3 linked regions of the Drosophila melanogaster genome follow. The protein of the gene in region 2 interacts with the protein of the main gene of each other region in a pairwise test. Each region holds a gene or a part of one and is shown on either strand. Other genes may lie near its edges.

The links. Proteins that work in one complex are often made in the same cells at the same time.
Region 1: the proteins of brp (region 2) and RhoGAP100F interact in a two-hybrid assay, tested with the Drosophila melanogaster proteins (one study listed by BioGRID).
Region 3: the proteins of brp (region 2) and cry interact in a two-hybrid assay, tested with the Drosophila melanogaster proteins (one study listed by BioGRID).

What each region holds. Positions count from the first base shown.
Region 1 is NT_033777.3:31,810,837-31,815,662, reverse strand, and holds the start of RhoGAP100F (Rho GTPase activating protein at 100F), read right to left. Parts: upstream 3,055-4,826; 5' UTR 1,837-3,054; intron 1-1,836. Other genes in the region: FeCH (ferrochelatase), read left to right, coding at 3,453-3,489, 3,544-3,922, 4,185-4,286, 4,342-4,663, 4,723-4,826. UniProt on the Drosophila melanogaster protein: GTPase activator for the Rho-type GTPases by converting them to an inactive GDP-bound state. Promotes the anchoring of Liprin-alpha clusters at synapses. Recruits and keeps Nrx-1 levels high in active zones in the presynapse opposite the postsynaptic region.
Region 2 is NT_033778.4:9,502,012-9,506,818, reverse strand, and holds the start of brp (bruchpilot), read right to left. Parts: upstream 3,055-4,807; 5' UTR 2,974-3,054; intron 1,816-2,973; 5' UTR 1,351-1,815; intron 1-1,350. Other genes in the region: Wnt2 (Wnt oncogene analog 2), read right to left, coding at 3,780-4,092, 4,310-4,497, 4,563-4,807.
Region 3 is NT_033777.3:19,210,531-19,215,996, forward strand, and holds cry (cryptochrome), read left to right. Parts: upstream 1-1,623; 5' UTR 1,624-1,810; coding exon 1,811-1,952; intron 1,953-2,028; exon of another isoform or gene 2,029-2,197; intron 2,198-2,953; coding exon 2,954-3,297; intron 3,298-3,453; coding exon 3,454-4,373; intron 4,374-4,609; coding exon 4,610-4,832; 3' UTR 4,833-4,912; downstream 4,913-5,466. UniProt on the Drosophila melanogaster protein: Blue light-dependent regulator that is the input of the circadian feedback loop. Has no photolyase activity for cyclobutane pyrimidine dimers or 6-4 photoproducts.

The DNA of each region.
Region 1 (4,826 bases), on a different chromosome or scaffold from region 2:
CAGAATCCAAATATTACGAAATTGTCATAAATAGTGAAAACCGAATTTAATAAGATATCGATATGAATTTTAAACTTTAAAATTATTTTTACTTGAGGCAGTGCTACAATGACGACAGGCAGATTTATCGATTTCCCTCTTTGGGCTCAGTTGTAACCCCATCATGGCATTATTTGGTTTGGTATGGTTATTGCTGCGTTGAAGTTTATCCACAACGCCACATCCCCATGAGTCCCTTTTCCACACTTTGACTGGTTAGTAGCACCCGACAAAGGAATATACATCGAAAGAAGAAACACAGACCCACCACTGGGGACCGTCGGACCCTAACCCGCAAACCCACCATCCCACCCACACCCACTGGGCTTTGCCGCACGCTCATGCGACTGCACACCCACTGAGGCAAAAAAAGGATACTCTTTCTTTTAGAAGTTATATTTATCGGCTCAGCTTATAATTGTAACGCGAAAAGGCCCCACAACTGACTCGCAGCTCTTGACAACCGATATTACGATCATTTACTTTTCAGATCGGATCCCATTATCTGCATGGTAAAACCCCAATTTTCAGTGCAGTCGCTTCGCGCCATGTGGTCCTTTCTGCCGGTGCTCAGCTGACTCACCTGACGACTGTGCAACATGCCACCAGCAACCCGCAACTAGAAACTCGCAACTCCGAATTTGGAGCTCCCAACTCGCCATTTGGACGACGGATAGAAGTCGCATTAAAATGCCAAAAATATGCTCGAAACCATAAAAACTAGCAAAGTTGCGGGGAAACTGTGAATTTATCTAATTAGTGAGGGCAGAATCAAAAAGATGGAATTATGGCTGCACAGAATGGAAGTCGCCATCCACATGTTGTATTACAGCTCGGCTTATACCACACACATAAGGACCAAACAAAATAATATGCAATTTTAAAAATAACTTTCTGTTTAAAGATTTTCTATATGTGAACAATACTGCCTTAAAATAAGTTAATAAATAACAACGTAAATTAATACAACAAAAAGTACCAAGCGATTTTAATGGTCTCTATGGAAATCCATTTTTGGCTACCGTAAGAGGCTTGCTATCATTTTTTTTATACAAGGGGCTTTAGTTCTAACATAAAATTAAGATAGTTGTGCGGCTCAGCTTTTTTAAATTATTTGTATGGTATGGGGCTCCACACAAAGTTCTCTGTTTGCTGGTAAATTGGAGCAAAGCTTTTAGCTTGGGGGTAGTTTGGCGGACTGAAGGGGCGATTCGGGGTGTAAAAAGTTATGGGGGCTTTGAGCATAAAAAGCGTCCAAACAAGATTTTTGATTGTTAATGTCGCGGTAAATGTTTTGCTTTCTGTTCCTCTCACCTAGTCGTATATATCCTAGATCTTCATCTCTTGTGTGTAATAGAGGAGATCTTGAAATAATTTGCTGCTGGAATAGACACCGCTTATATTACATTTGCTCGAATTGATTTGACGATATGCCATGTTTTCTTACGATTAAATTGGAACCTCCACCTCCAATGACTACAATGAATGATGATAGCCTATCAGAAGACGTTTCCTTTTCTTTCAAAAGGTTTTTAGTAAAAGGCAAAATAACGCTAACCAACAAAGCATTAGAAGTTCTGGAAACAGGATTTGTTTTAACAGAAAATTGCGCATAATCACACTTGCCACAAATGATCGCTTATTCGAGTTGTGGGAGCCTTATCAAGCACAGCCGAATTTGATAGCGACAAGGTCATTTCCTATGATGGACTTTTCACCCTTCAAATAGTTTTTTAATTAACTAAATGCATAGCCGCCAGTGAGTTTCCTGGATAGGTCCCTTTGTTGAAAACTCACCTGCACTGTGGAACTGCGTTTCTCCTGACGTCCTAATGCTTGACGTTTTGCGTCTAATCCGTGCCAACGGCTACTGCCCAAGTTATGAAAACGTGAGATCACAAATTGCAAGGGACAACTGGGGTCGGGTTGAAGAGGGGCGGAGGTATGGGAGTGGGCTAGTTGCAGTCACCGGTCGTAAATGTGTGCCGCGTTGTGAAAAGGATGCACTTGCTCTCTATGGTAGCTCTCTCTTGCTCTCTCTTTTTCTCTAAAAATGTCTATCTCTTTCGCTCGCTAGCGTTACCTTTTATTTCGGCTTTGATTGGTTTTAATTTCCGCTGAAGCTGCTTTTACTTCCGGGGCAGTAAGAATGCGAATGCAAAATGCAATTGGCTAGGTGCAGGTTTTTGTTGTTAGAGACTTATCGCTGATTCGGTGGTCAATGGCTTGGGATTTTGAGAAGCAGTACATCCTTGCAGCCTCTCTTTGCTCCTTTCTGCACCGTCTTTCGTTGCCTTTCGTTTCGTTTCACACTTTCGTCGCATTCACGGCATCCCATGCAACTTTTTTGCTGCGGCATTTTTTGCGTAACTTGTGAGATAATTTCAACATGTTTTTGGTTCCCGGAAAAGGTGCAATTTATTTTTTGGCCTTTTCATTGATCTGTGCGCGAGAGTGCTTGCGGGCGCGGTGTGTGGGCTCGCGGCAGGCGGGTGTGAGAGTGTGTGGGTGGTGCGGGGAACCCGTAGCGGAATGCGTCCGTGTGGCAGCGCGAAGCTTTCGCAACTATGCGAATTTCCTGAGTAGGAATTTCAGTATAATAAAATATCCTGTTCCTCTTCTAAGTCGAGAAAGAGAGCAAGAGAGCGCTAGTTATTCTGCGCGTGCGCCACGAATTGGAGCACTTTAATGCTGGTGGCGATAACACGGACATGGACACATCACCAATACTCGCGCACGTACACCCACCACCGCGGTGGAACTCCTTCCCTCTCACTCACTCCAAAACTTCCTACGTTTTTTTCACTGTGCTGCGCCGCTTGTCCTTTTGCTTTTCTCCGATGTTAAACGACACTTTCGGTTGTTTTTCAAGCTTTCTTATCTTTTCGGACCATGGGCCGCGCCTTTTATTGCGTTTTTACGAAGCAATTGTGCCTGCATTCGGTGGAAAAACTACAAAATATTATTTGATCGGAGGAAACGAAACACTCGCAGCAAGCGACGAGAGCGAAATGCAGCGTGCAAGAGCGAGACTGCACCACAGTCAGCTTTTACCGTTGCACGCAGCGTTGATGACAAGGGAAAGAAATAAGGACGCATGCGCGAAAAATTTCTGTTGGTCGCTTGAAGAACAGTATATACCAAATATTGGTTTCGGTTTCAATAAAGAGAAATTAAATGGTAAATGTGTAACAAAAGGAAAAATTTTTAAATATTTAGATTACTGTTGAGTAATAGTTGGCAGCTATTTTACACACATAGATGGCGTGACGGTTACTTTTTACAGAACTCTGTTACGTTTGGAAAAACTCTAGAATCTGTGAGATCATACATTTTGGTATTTAAACTATTTTAGCAACTGGTAACACTATTCGACACCGGTGCCATCAATTTGGGTCAATTTAAAAGGAACTATGTTTTTGCATAACACAAAGTTTTGCAGACTGGCAAGTGAGTATACGAGTGGATACAGTTCCCACGACATTCCTACATATTCCCCAACAGGTGGTCTGGCAGGAGGAGTGCGCAACCTGAGCGGCCAAAAACCGAAGACCGCGATCCTAATGCTGAACATGGGCGGTCCGACCCACACGGACCAGGTGCATGACTACCTCCTGCGTATTATGACCGACCGGGACATGATCCAGCTGCCGGTGCAGAGCCGTCTTGGTCCGTGGATCGCCCAGCGCAGGACGCCCGAGGTACAGAAGAAGTACAAGGAGATCGGCGGTGGTTCACCGATTCTTAAGTGGACCGAGCTGCAGGGCCAGCTCATGTGCGAGCAGTTGGACAGAATCTCCCCGGAGACAGCACCTCACAAGCACTACGTCGGTTTCCGCTACGTGAATCCCCTCACTGAGAACACGCTGGCCGAGATCGAAAAGTGAGTGTAGTCGAGAAGTAGAACAAGAGTGATGTAAATAATCCGAAGGTCGTGAAATTGACCTATATATATTGCTACGGACTCTCACAATAAGATATGTTCTAGTAAATAAGTTTGTATAGACTTCTGACTTCTTATGCATGTTTCAATGTCCTGCTATTATCAGTTGACTTCTTGGACAAATTACTGAAACCTAAACCTGGAAATTATGGTCATTTGCGCTACTTAAAGAATACATGTTAATATTTTAACATATTTACAGGGACAAACCAGAGCGCGTTGTACTCTTTTCACAATATCCACAGTACAGCTGCGCCACCTCCGGATCCAGCTTTAACTCCATATTTACTCATTATCGGAGCAAGTGAGTTAGAAATGCACAATTGCAGCTATTTATTTGATCCCCTCTACCTCTTTAGTAATCTGCCCTCGGATATCAAATGGAGCATTATCGACAGGTGGGGCACTCATCCACTTCTAATCAAAACGTTTGCCCAGCGAATTCGCGACGAGCTGGCCAAATTTGTGGAAACGAAACGAAATGATGTGGTCATCCTCTTCACTGCCCACTCCCTTCCCCTTAAGGCTGTGAACCGGGGTGACGCGTATCCCTCGGAGATTGGTGCTAGCGTACACATGGTGATGCAGGAACTTGGTCAGACGAATCCCTACAGCCTGGCATGGCAATCCAAGGTGGGCCCGCTACCCTGGCTGGCGCCCGCAACTGATGATGCCATTAAGGTGTAACTTTAATGCCGGATTTCCATTCCCATCCACTAAAACCAATCCCATCTTTACAGGGCTATGTTAAGCAAGGCCTGAAGAACTTCATCCTTGTGCCCATTGCCTTCGTGAACGAGCACATCGAGACGCTGCATGAGCTCGACATCGAGTACTGCGACGA
Region 2 (4,807 bases):
AATGGGGACATAAAAAGATGGAGGAAGCGCAGCAGATGAGGTCAGGATATGGCAGACAGGCCATAAAATATCAGGCCCAGATTCGATTACATCGCCATGCCATTAGGGAGCCCCAGGCAGTGCACTTTGCTGGGCAAACATATCCAGATATATACTGCCATACTGCCAGATGTATGTAGATGCGGAGAGCGGGAGACGGATTGCACTTCTAGCTGCATACTTGGGGGACCTGGAGCTGAAGCTGAAACTGGAAGCCACTACGATTGTTGTCCGTCCGGAGGCCATCTTATCAGGCTATCTGCTCCGGGGGCCTCCACCCCAAAACAAACATGTTGAATAGCTTCCGAAAAAACGAGAGGCGTCCCCGGAGAAAGCCGGAGAGAGAACTCACCACACTGGGAGGCTAGTGCGCAAATGCGTGCCATCTCACCAGCGCACTTCCCTTTCTCCTCTCGCCTTTCTCCGTTCCTCTGGCTGCTTTCTCCATTCGCTCCCGCTCACAACAATAGCGTCATCGTAAAATATTTGCCGTATTTTGTTGTTACCACTGCCCCAATATATGGATTGGCGGCGTTTTCTTCGCCCGCACACACACTGACTCTCACAACAGACACACACAGACACTGACTCAGACCACATGTAAAATAAGGTTGAAATTTGAAATCAATAAAAGTTATTCGGCTGATCTAAAATTAGAGCAAGCAACTCAAATAACAGCCGAAAGAAGTAAATAATAAAGGCAAACACCGCATCATTGACACGCAAAGGAGGTGATTGGGCCGGCCCCCAAAAAAGCTGAACAAAAAACTGACAAATCATGCGAGCAAATCGAATGCGTCGAGCCTGCCCCACAAGGCACCATCCACATATCTAATTATAAGTTTTCAAATTGCTTGCCAATCTCCGGATGATTGATTGATTGAACGGGGCGTATGGGTAATGCATGGAGAACAGACTAAAATTACTCGCTAAACTAAGTTACTCGACTACGTTCTAGGACTGCAACTAGGTCTAGATAATCGGGGATCGTATTTTATATTCAGCTGGACATATTCATCGGTAAAATCACAAGAAAGAAATCACAACAGATACGTACAGGAGATAAAGAAGTTACACAGAGAGAACAAAGGCAGGCACAAAAACAGATTACTTATAACTGATTACGATTAAATTATGGCGGCTCCTGTTACACAAGGCATACGCACAAATCAGAAATCAATATCGCTTATGGTTCACATCACAAATTGAAGTTTTTGCCGTGTTTCTTTGGTTGTGTGTGCGTTTATGTGTGTGTATCTCAGTGTCAGTGTGGGTGTCGTTACGTATACGTAATACGGTTAAATAGCTCACCCGCTTTGCTTAGGCGATGAATTTTGAATGATTTTCCTTAACGAACTGCGGGCGAATGAAAAACTGGCTAAGCTAGCTGCTGCTCCTGCTACTGCACCTCCTCGTTCGTTTAATCCTCTTGCTCCTGCTCCTGCTCCTGCTGCTGCTCCTCGACTTCCGCTTCCGGTTTTCAGAGCCCGCACACACTGACGCACTCGCGCTGCAACTACATGTGTGTGTGGGCGATTTGTTGCTCGTCTTTATGGCCGTTGCCAATGCAATGGTGCTGGTGACTGCGATTGTGATTGTGTTTGTGGTTGTTGTCAGGCGGCTCAATGGGCATTTCCGGTTCCGGTCGGCTAGCTGCTTGCACTAATTTAGTTGATGACACTGGCTTAGTTAGTTTGTTGACTTTCGTGGCGTGCGCTCGCTGGCTAATTGCATTTTGTGTTTATGATTTAAACGGCTTTTGTTTTATGTACATGGCTGTGTGGGAGGATAATTAAACCGCGTGAGTTTCCAGCTAAACTAATTAAAGTCTTCATTCACTGAGTGGGTTTTTTTGTGTTTCATTTATTTTTCCAAGTGGTTTGGTGGCTTCGTGCCCAACGAGGATATTTTTTACACTCGTTCCCGCTGACACACATTCGAGCCCAACACACACACACACACACACACACAGGCACAGCAAACACAGCGATACGGAGAGATAGGGAGTTGAAGAGTGCTCCGCAAAATGGAGTGGAGAGTGTTCTACGCACGAGTTACGCTCACGAACAACGTAAGGTTCGACGTAACGAAAGGGGATTGTGGGGGGAGTGGCGTGTGGCGAGGGGCGAGGGGCGGTGGAGCTGAGCGGGTGGTTTGGGTGGCTCAACATTATGCTGGCACCCCACCTTCCGTCACTTCATTCGCTCGGCTCTAGGCTCTGTTATACAGCTTATAGCTTTTCAAACTTAATGTCTCTTTGTAGGCGTATGCGTATGTGTGTGTGTGTGTGTGTGAGTGCGGTTTTGTGGGTGTGCGAATGCGAGTGTGTGTGTATAACTCGCATGGCTTATATGTAGGTTGAAGCAATTTATAATAATTTTTTTTTGCTTTCGCCCCAATCGATAGGCAGCGTTTAGTGGGACAGATGACTCCTTTTGATTGACAGTGTGTGTTTGTACGTTGGTCTTTCACACTGATATACTATACACAAATGCACATTTGTATATATATATACGTATAAAGGGTGTGTGTGAAATGGTTCCTTGAGTTTGTCACACGATTTTGAGCGCTATAGGCGGCTTTTTGGCCAGCTCGATTTGCTTTTAACTCGCTTTTTTCGCACTTTTTGCAGGAAATCACTTTTCTGTATCCAGGGAGCAGCCTCTAGCGCTAGTGCTGCCATTCACGCACACTCACTCACTCGCACACATACACACACACTAACGGGGACTTTATGCATTTGATCGAAGCACTTTTCGCCAGTCAATGGAATTTTCTCGCGCTATTCTTTCACTTTTCTCCGCTGCGAATGCAATTAAGTTGGACTTTTCTTGGCCTTATACATTTCTCGGCCAGATACATATACTGCGCGTGTGTGTATGTGTGTGTGCATGCGGGAGTGTATTGGTATTCGTGTCTATGTGTGTTCCTAACCCAAAAATGTATTGTGCGGCAGCTGAGGTGGCCCGTTTTCGGCAACGCCGTTGTCCAACTAACTACCCTCAAAGAACTGAGCACGGCTCGTGCAAGCCAGTTGCTAATATAGTCGCCGATTCGCTGGCAAGTGGTGAGTTTTCCAACTTTTCCTTACCGACCACCCTCTGCTTTCCTCCTGGCCTAGGCATAGGGAGAGCTAGCCGGAGAGCGCGCGATTGCAATCAATGAATTTTCCTTTCGGCGCTCGCGCAGTTCAGTGAGTGCTGGCATCTCGAGCTGCCAGCTTAATGGATTCCGGAATTCCAATACCAAAATATGGAGCCAGCGCATTGCGTTACGCTAAACGAATGTGGGTCTTACGTATTGCTCCACATTCAGCGTTGGCAATGCTGCGCGCCAACTATTCAAACCGCCCTCAAAATTAGACTATGAACTCGTTGGTTTTAGGAACAGTTTTCTATAAGAACAGATTATAGATTCTTAAAGATTTGGATTTCATTATTTTGGAAACTATTTTTAAGGAATAAGAAATCTGAAACAGCAGACTGAATGTATCAGCTCACCTAGATTAGCTTTTTTGCAGAAGGTTCTTTTCTAAGAAAACTTAAATACTTATTTGAATTATACGAACTTAATAATAAGACAGTATTCGTTGGGGATGTTAACTTGTTACGTTTATTCTGGAATGTGTCTGTATGGTGGCGCGGTGCGTATCTGCGGTTGTAATACATTTCTCATAATACTTAATCAACGCATTTCCTATGACATAGCCCTAGTTCTAGCGATATGCTCCCGCTACCCGTCTATTTACAGGTGAACTCCTCGTAGCTCTCGTCGCACTCGTCACACTTGACCTCGCAGCACCAGCGGAATTGGCAGCGGCACTGCGTGGTCCTTCGAATGTGCTGCGTGTTGTGGCCACGCCCACAGCAGAGCAGATCGCAGCTCTGGGGGCCGTGGCCGGTCCGCTGGCAGGTCCGACCTGAGGTGCCCTGGCTGCCCGTCTGCAGACTTCGCTCGCAGTAGTTGGGCGACGCCTCCAGGTAGATCAGCTCCATGCGCTTCGGCCAATCGAGGACCGGTTTCTGGGCACGAGCGGTGCCGGCATGCTTCTTTCTGCAAGAAATTAAAAGTGGAAAGAGGTATGTGTTAATATGTGGGATCGAAAATGTGTTGATATTATACCGTGCTACAGAAGGCACAGCAAACATATTGCATTTAAAAAGGACTTAATGACTACTATGTGTTTTATTCTTTTTAGAAGAATACTTATTTAGCCATTAGATTATTGCCTACATATCATGCAACATCTTGCAAGATTCCCATTTCTCACCTGCTTAATACTAATCTCAGTCCACGTTTGCCTTTGACGGCTTGAACAGTTTTGGCTTTTTGATACTTCAGCATGAGTCTATCGCCAACCAGTCGAAAGGGCGGCAGGCTCTTCCAGCAGGTCTTCATCACGCAGGAGCCACTGACGCCATGGCACTTGCAGTCCGTGCGCAGCATCTTCTTGACCAGCTGATAAGAGAAAAACATAACTATTAACTAGGCCATATTTATTATTAAATTTTATGCATGCGCACCGTTCTCCCTGCTCGGTTATTGTGCAGGTTCATCAGCGTGCGGGAGTCGCGCTCCAATTCGCGGGCATCCATGAATCTGCGCGCATACCGCATCCCAAAGTCCACGTCCGCCGAGCAGCCGCCCCACTTCCAGGGCTCGTCGGGCGTACCGCCGCCAGTGGGCGTGGCTTTGTGCCGCACATCACAGCCGCAGGTGGAGATGTTGCCGCGGGCACAGGCGGCGGTCACCGCGTACGCCGCTCCGG
Region 3 (5,466 bases), on a different chromosome or scaffold from region 2:
GAAAAATTCTTTTGTCCAAAACCTTTCGACTTCACTTCATTGTTCATTTGACCCTGTTTCACTCTGCCTCTGCCACTGTTCCTTTCCCCCGCCCCCTTATAATCCTGGTTTTGGCCATAGTCCAGCCACAGAAGGCTCATCATCGTCGTCGTCATCATTTGAATTCCTCGCCCGATTGTTGCAAGCAGCGCCTGTCGTTGTTGTTGTTGCCAGGACACGTGCATCGGCGAGCTTTGCAGTTGACATTCCGTTACGCACGTTGCCTCCATTTGGTCCTTGTTCTTGTTTTTACTGCTGCTGCTGCTGCTGCTGCTGCTGTCGGTGTCGTTGTCGTTGTCTAGGCAACATGCAATGTGCAATGCTAAAGTTTTTGTGATGCAAGTGCGTAGTTTACTCACAATAAGGCTCGTTGGGACTGTCCAGCGATGTTGGGTATTCGACGTGCGGGGATTTTTTTTTATGGGGGAAAAGCTCACTCAAAGTTGGCAAAGGAGCTGTGGCCCATGCTCGGGTTAACTAACTATGCCAATGCAGGACCATAACCAAAAAGTGCGTCACTACCGAATATTAGCTACTCTATTATATGTTCAAGTGTATTTGGTTTTTCGAAATATTGATAGGAGAATACTGGTATCTAGAATTGCTCATCTTCCATCTTCATCTTTTTCTTACCAAAATAGCTATTTCCAGTATAATTTGTAGAAGAACTAACCAGGAATGGGCTAACCTACTTTTGTAGTTAGGGCGATACTTACTTGCTTTACAAATGAATGTCTGCACAGCACAAATCAAATAATCAATAAATCTTATAACTATTTAAACTTAAATGTATTTACTCATAATAAACAACCAAGTAAATATACCCAAATAGGTAATTATTACTTCAAAGTGATAAGTATAAGCATGCAAACAGCCCATCTCGATCCCACTGCAGAGTTGAGTGCTTGCAAAAGCTCGTCACGTCATAAGCGGCAACAGTTGGGTTCAGTTTCTGGTTCTGTGTGCTCAGAACGCAGTGCCCCACTGTGAGAGCGAAGGGAAGAAGGGGTGGGACAGTCAGCTGGGGGTCGATTCGGGGTGGGGGCTCGGCTCGTTCTCGGCGCAGAGCTAGAAGTGCAGGCAACCGTGGGCAGAGTGCCACACTTATGCTCACACAAGCACCCAAGCACACAGTCGCCCCTTCGCACACACACACACACACACATACAGATCGACAGCTTTGTATTGACGCACTTGAACGGGCTGTTTCTAGTTACCGATTCACAGTACACGCTTCTACACTGGGAGAAAATATGCATGTCCGCAAAATCCTTATCAACTCTCGAATCTTTTCTCGCAGCCATTATAACGAGTTTTAATACTAAATATGCATAGAAATTCAAAATATAAACAATAACAAAAACAAAAACGATATTTGGATGTTATAGAACACTCTTAGTTTTAGCCTGCGTTTGGTTTTGCCCAACTTAAACTTTGGTTATAATATATATAATATATGGAAGTAAGTACTTTTTTTCAGTGTGCGGTTCCCACAGGTCTCTTTCTCGCCATCTCTGTTGCACTCACCGTACTTATGCGATTCATTTTAGCTTATAACGCCGAACACGGGGAACGTTGAGCTGCAGTTGTAGAAACGTTCTCAGCACTCAAATTTCGCATTCACATTCTCATTCGTCAATTAGTTGCCGGCGCGAGCGAATCGTGAGTGCGGAAAAAAGAAAATCTTTTCATCAGCTGGAAAACTGTTCTTCCCGATCAAAACTGGGATTCGGGAGATTTTTGAAGCCCAAAAGCAGGGAACTCCTCACTGATGGCCACGCGAGGGGCGAATGTGATTTGGTTTCGCCATGGATTGCGCCTCCATGATAATCCCGCTCTATTGGCCGCCCTCGCCGATAAGGATCAGGGTATAGCCCTAATTCCCGTTTTCATATTCGATGGAGAGAGTGCAGGTAAGAACTGAGTTTTCGAAAATTTTATTTCGTTGCGCACACATACATGTAGGTATCCAAATTAAATTGATTACAGGTAACCTTGAACTTACCTTGCACTTTCCTAAGTTATTACTTCAAAACTTTTATATGAGATATGGATATCTCATGGAGATATATTTAAAATATTAAGATAATCTTAAAATAATTAATAGATAGCAAAACATCAAAGATAAAATATTATATCTATATATATTTGCTCATACAAAATCATCAGAAGTTTGTGTAAAAATAGATTTTTGGAAAGAGTTTGAAAATTCAACAAAATTAAAATAAAAAACCGTTGGCAACAGAGGGTTAAAATAAATACTTTTAGTTTGATTGCTATTACACGCTCATTCTCCGTATGAGCTAATATCATTTTTTGCGACTTGCATCGGTTATCACATACCACCTCTTTCCGCGACCGCTGCGAATTCAGCGTTTTCGCTGCTTGTGAAAATGGAAAGAGGGCGAGAGCTGCAGGGGCGGAAAATGGAGGGAAAACCTAATGCACTTTTGCATGGTAGAGCAAAACAAACGATGCGCCCTAATGCCATTTGTGGCTGGCGGTTTTGAGAATTTTCCGTCGAATCGCTGGGAGAGAGATATAGAAAGACAATGCAAAATGGGTAGAGACATTGAGTGCAAACCAGAATAGCAGTATAATGCTTGTGTTTAAACAGCTCGCTCACGGAAAAAGTCGGCGAGAAACGGGGATACCTATAGAACCCATCACTTGACCGATAAGCGTCGTTTTGTGGGTAAAAGCGTGAAAACAAATATTACAATGGAAAATGGGCTAAACTGAACCATTTGTTTGCACAAAAGCTGAAAATTTATCTAAAAGGTGGCACTTAAACACACAAACTTGTTTTGAATTCCTAGTTTTGCGAAAATTGTGCACGAAAAAACTTTGAAAATGCATAATTTTTTTTAAATTTATAAATCTTATAAAACCGTTAAATGCTCTTCCTTAACAGGTACCAAGAATGTGGGTTACAATCGGATGCGTTTCCTCCTGGACTCGTTGCAGGACATCGATGATCAGCTACAGGCGGCAACTGATGGACGTGGACGCCTCCTGGTCTTCGAGGGCGAACCGGCTTATATCTTCCGCCGGCTACATGAGCAAGTGCGTCTGCACAGGATTTGCATAGAGCAGGACTGCGAGCCAATTTGGAATGAGCGCGATGAAAGCATCCGTTCTCTATGTCGGGAGCTGAATATCGACTTTGTCGAGAAGGTATCACACACGCTTTGGGATCCGCAATTGGTGATTGAGACCAATGGTGGCATTCCACCGCTGACCTACCAAATGTTCCTGGTGAGTTTAAAGCTCAGTTCTCTAGTTATAATATTCTTTTGAGAATATATCTTTAAAATAAATGTAAAAATATAACTATCTGAAAATTATATAGTCACTGAAAGATACTAATTATTTACATCAAATTATATTTTCGTTTATTTTATTATGTTTTAGCACACGGTGCAAATTATTGGGCTTCCACCGCGTCCCACCGCCGATGCTCGACTAGAAGACGCCACCTTTGTCGAGCTGGACCCCGAGTTCTGCCGAAGTCTTAAGTTGTTCGAGCAGCTGCCCACGCCGGAGCACTTCAATGTGTATGGAGACAACATGGGCTTCCTGGCCAAGATTAACTGGCGCGGCGGAGAAACACAGGCCTTACTTCTGTTGGATGAGCGTCTTAAAGTGGAGCAGCATGCGTTTGAGCGTGGATTTTATCTGCCCAACCAGGCACTGCCCAATATCCACGACTCGCCAAAATCGATGAGCGCCCATCTGCGCTTTGGTTGCCTTTCGGTACGTCGCTTCTACTGGAGCGTCCACGATCTCTTCAAGAATGTCCAGTTGCGCGCCTGTGTGCGGGGCGTTCAGATGACTGGCGGCGCGCACATCACGGGACAGTTGATCTGGCGAGAGTACTTCTACACCATGTCGGTGAACAATCCAAACTACGATCGCATGGAGGGCAATGACATCTGCCTGAGCATCCCGTGGGCTAAGCCGAACGAAAATCTCCTGCAGAGCTGGCGTTTAGGCCAAACGGGATTCCCGCTCATCGACGGCGCCATGCGACAACTCCTGGCCGAGGGATGGCTCCACCATACGCTGCGCAACACCGTGGCCACCTTTCTCACGCGCGGCGGTTTGTGGCAGAGCTGGGAGCATGGACTGCAGCACTTTCTGAAGTATCTGCTGGATGCGGATTGGTCGGTCTGCGCTGGCAACTGGATGTGGGTATCCAGCTCGGCGTTTGAAAGGCTGCTGGACTCCTCCCTGGTCACCTGCCCGGTGGCATTGGCCAAGCGACTTGATCCGGATGGCACCTACATCAAGCAGTACGTCCCGGAGTTGATGAATGTGCCCAAGGAATTTGTGTAAGTTTATATAATGAAAATTCCATATAACAATTTAAGTACTTAGATATAATAAAAATACTGATGGTATACTTGTCGTATACGCAATATATGATGACTCCTTTGTCGTCTTTACTTATGATTCGTTAAAGTGTTCAACAATCTCAAGCAACCATTTGAACTATATATATTTTTAATTCGTTTATTCGTGCTTTTGTTATATTTTTTAAATTATAAATCCCATTTTATATTTTCAGTCACGAGCCCTGGCGAATGTCTGCCGAGCAGCAGGAGCAGTACGAGTGCCTGATCGGAGTCCATTATCCGGAGCGGATCATTGATTTGTCCATGGCCGTAAAGCGAAACATGCTGGCCATGAAGTCTCTCCGAAATTCGCTGATCACCCCGCCGCCGCATTGCCGACCATCCAACGAGGAGGAAGTGCGTCAGTTCTTCTGGCTGGCCGACGTGGTGGTTTGAAGGAGTACAAGTGGGATGACCAATCCAATTTTAATTCGATTTCACAATAAAGAAACTATTACCAGTGAAATATTATATATAATTAATAATGCTTTATTTTCTTCAATTAAAATAAGTACTACAATACAATTTGTATCCGTTTTATTTGGTTTCGTTTTACTTTTAACAGCTTATAACGTGTTACTCATATATCAATTTTATTCAGCTTATTTTAAAAATCGTTTATGGTGTATATATATATAATTATTATTATCATCTGTATTACGTTGTCAAATTATACGTTAATTAACAGCATTAATTAAATAGTTTTTGCTTTTAATTGGGTCTTTCATACGAGAAAAATTGAACGCGAAGTATTTCAAATATTGAAATTTATTTTATGTCGATCTATTGATCCTGGCTTCGTTTGCCTTTCGTTTAATGAGAGATTCTATCTTTATAATTTGTCTAAATTGTTGTGTATATTTTATTTTAATGCCTAAATTTTGGTGTTCCTTCTAGATGTGTGCCTTTCGAATGAGATATTGGTAGGGGTTGATGGGACCTAAAAGGAGTTATTGTTGAAGTTTGAGTCCCTCGACAGTTTGCTACAAATAAAGTTTGAGAAAATCTAAACTCGACCACGCCGAGCTTT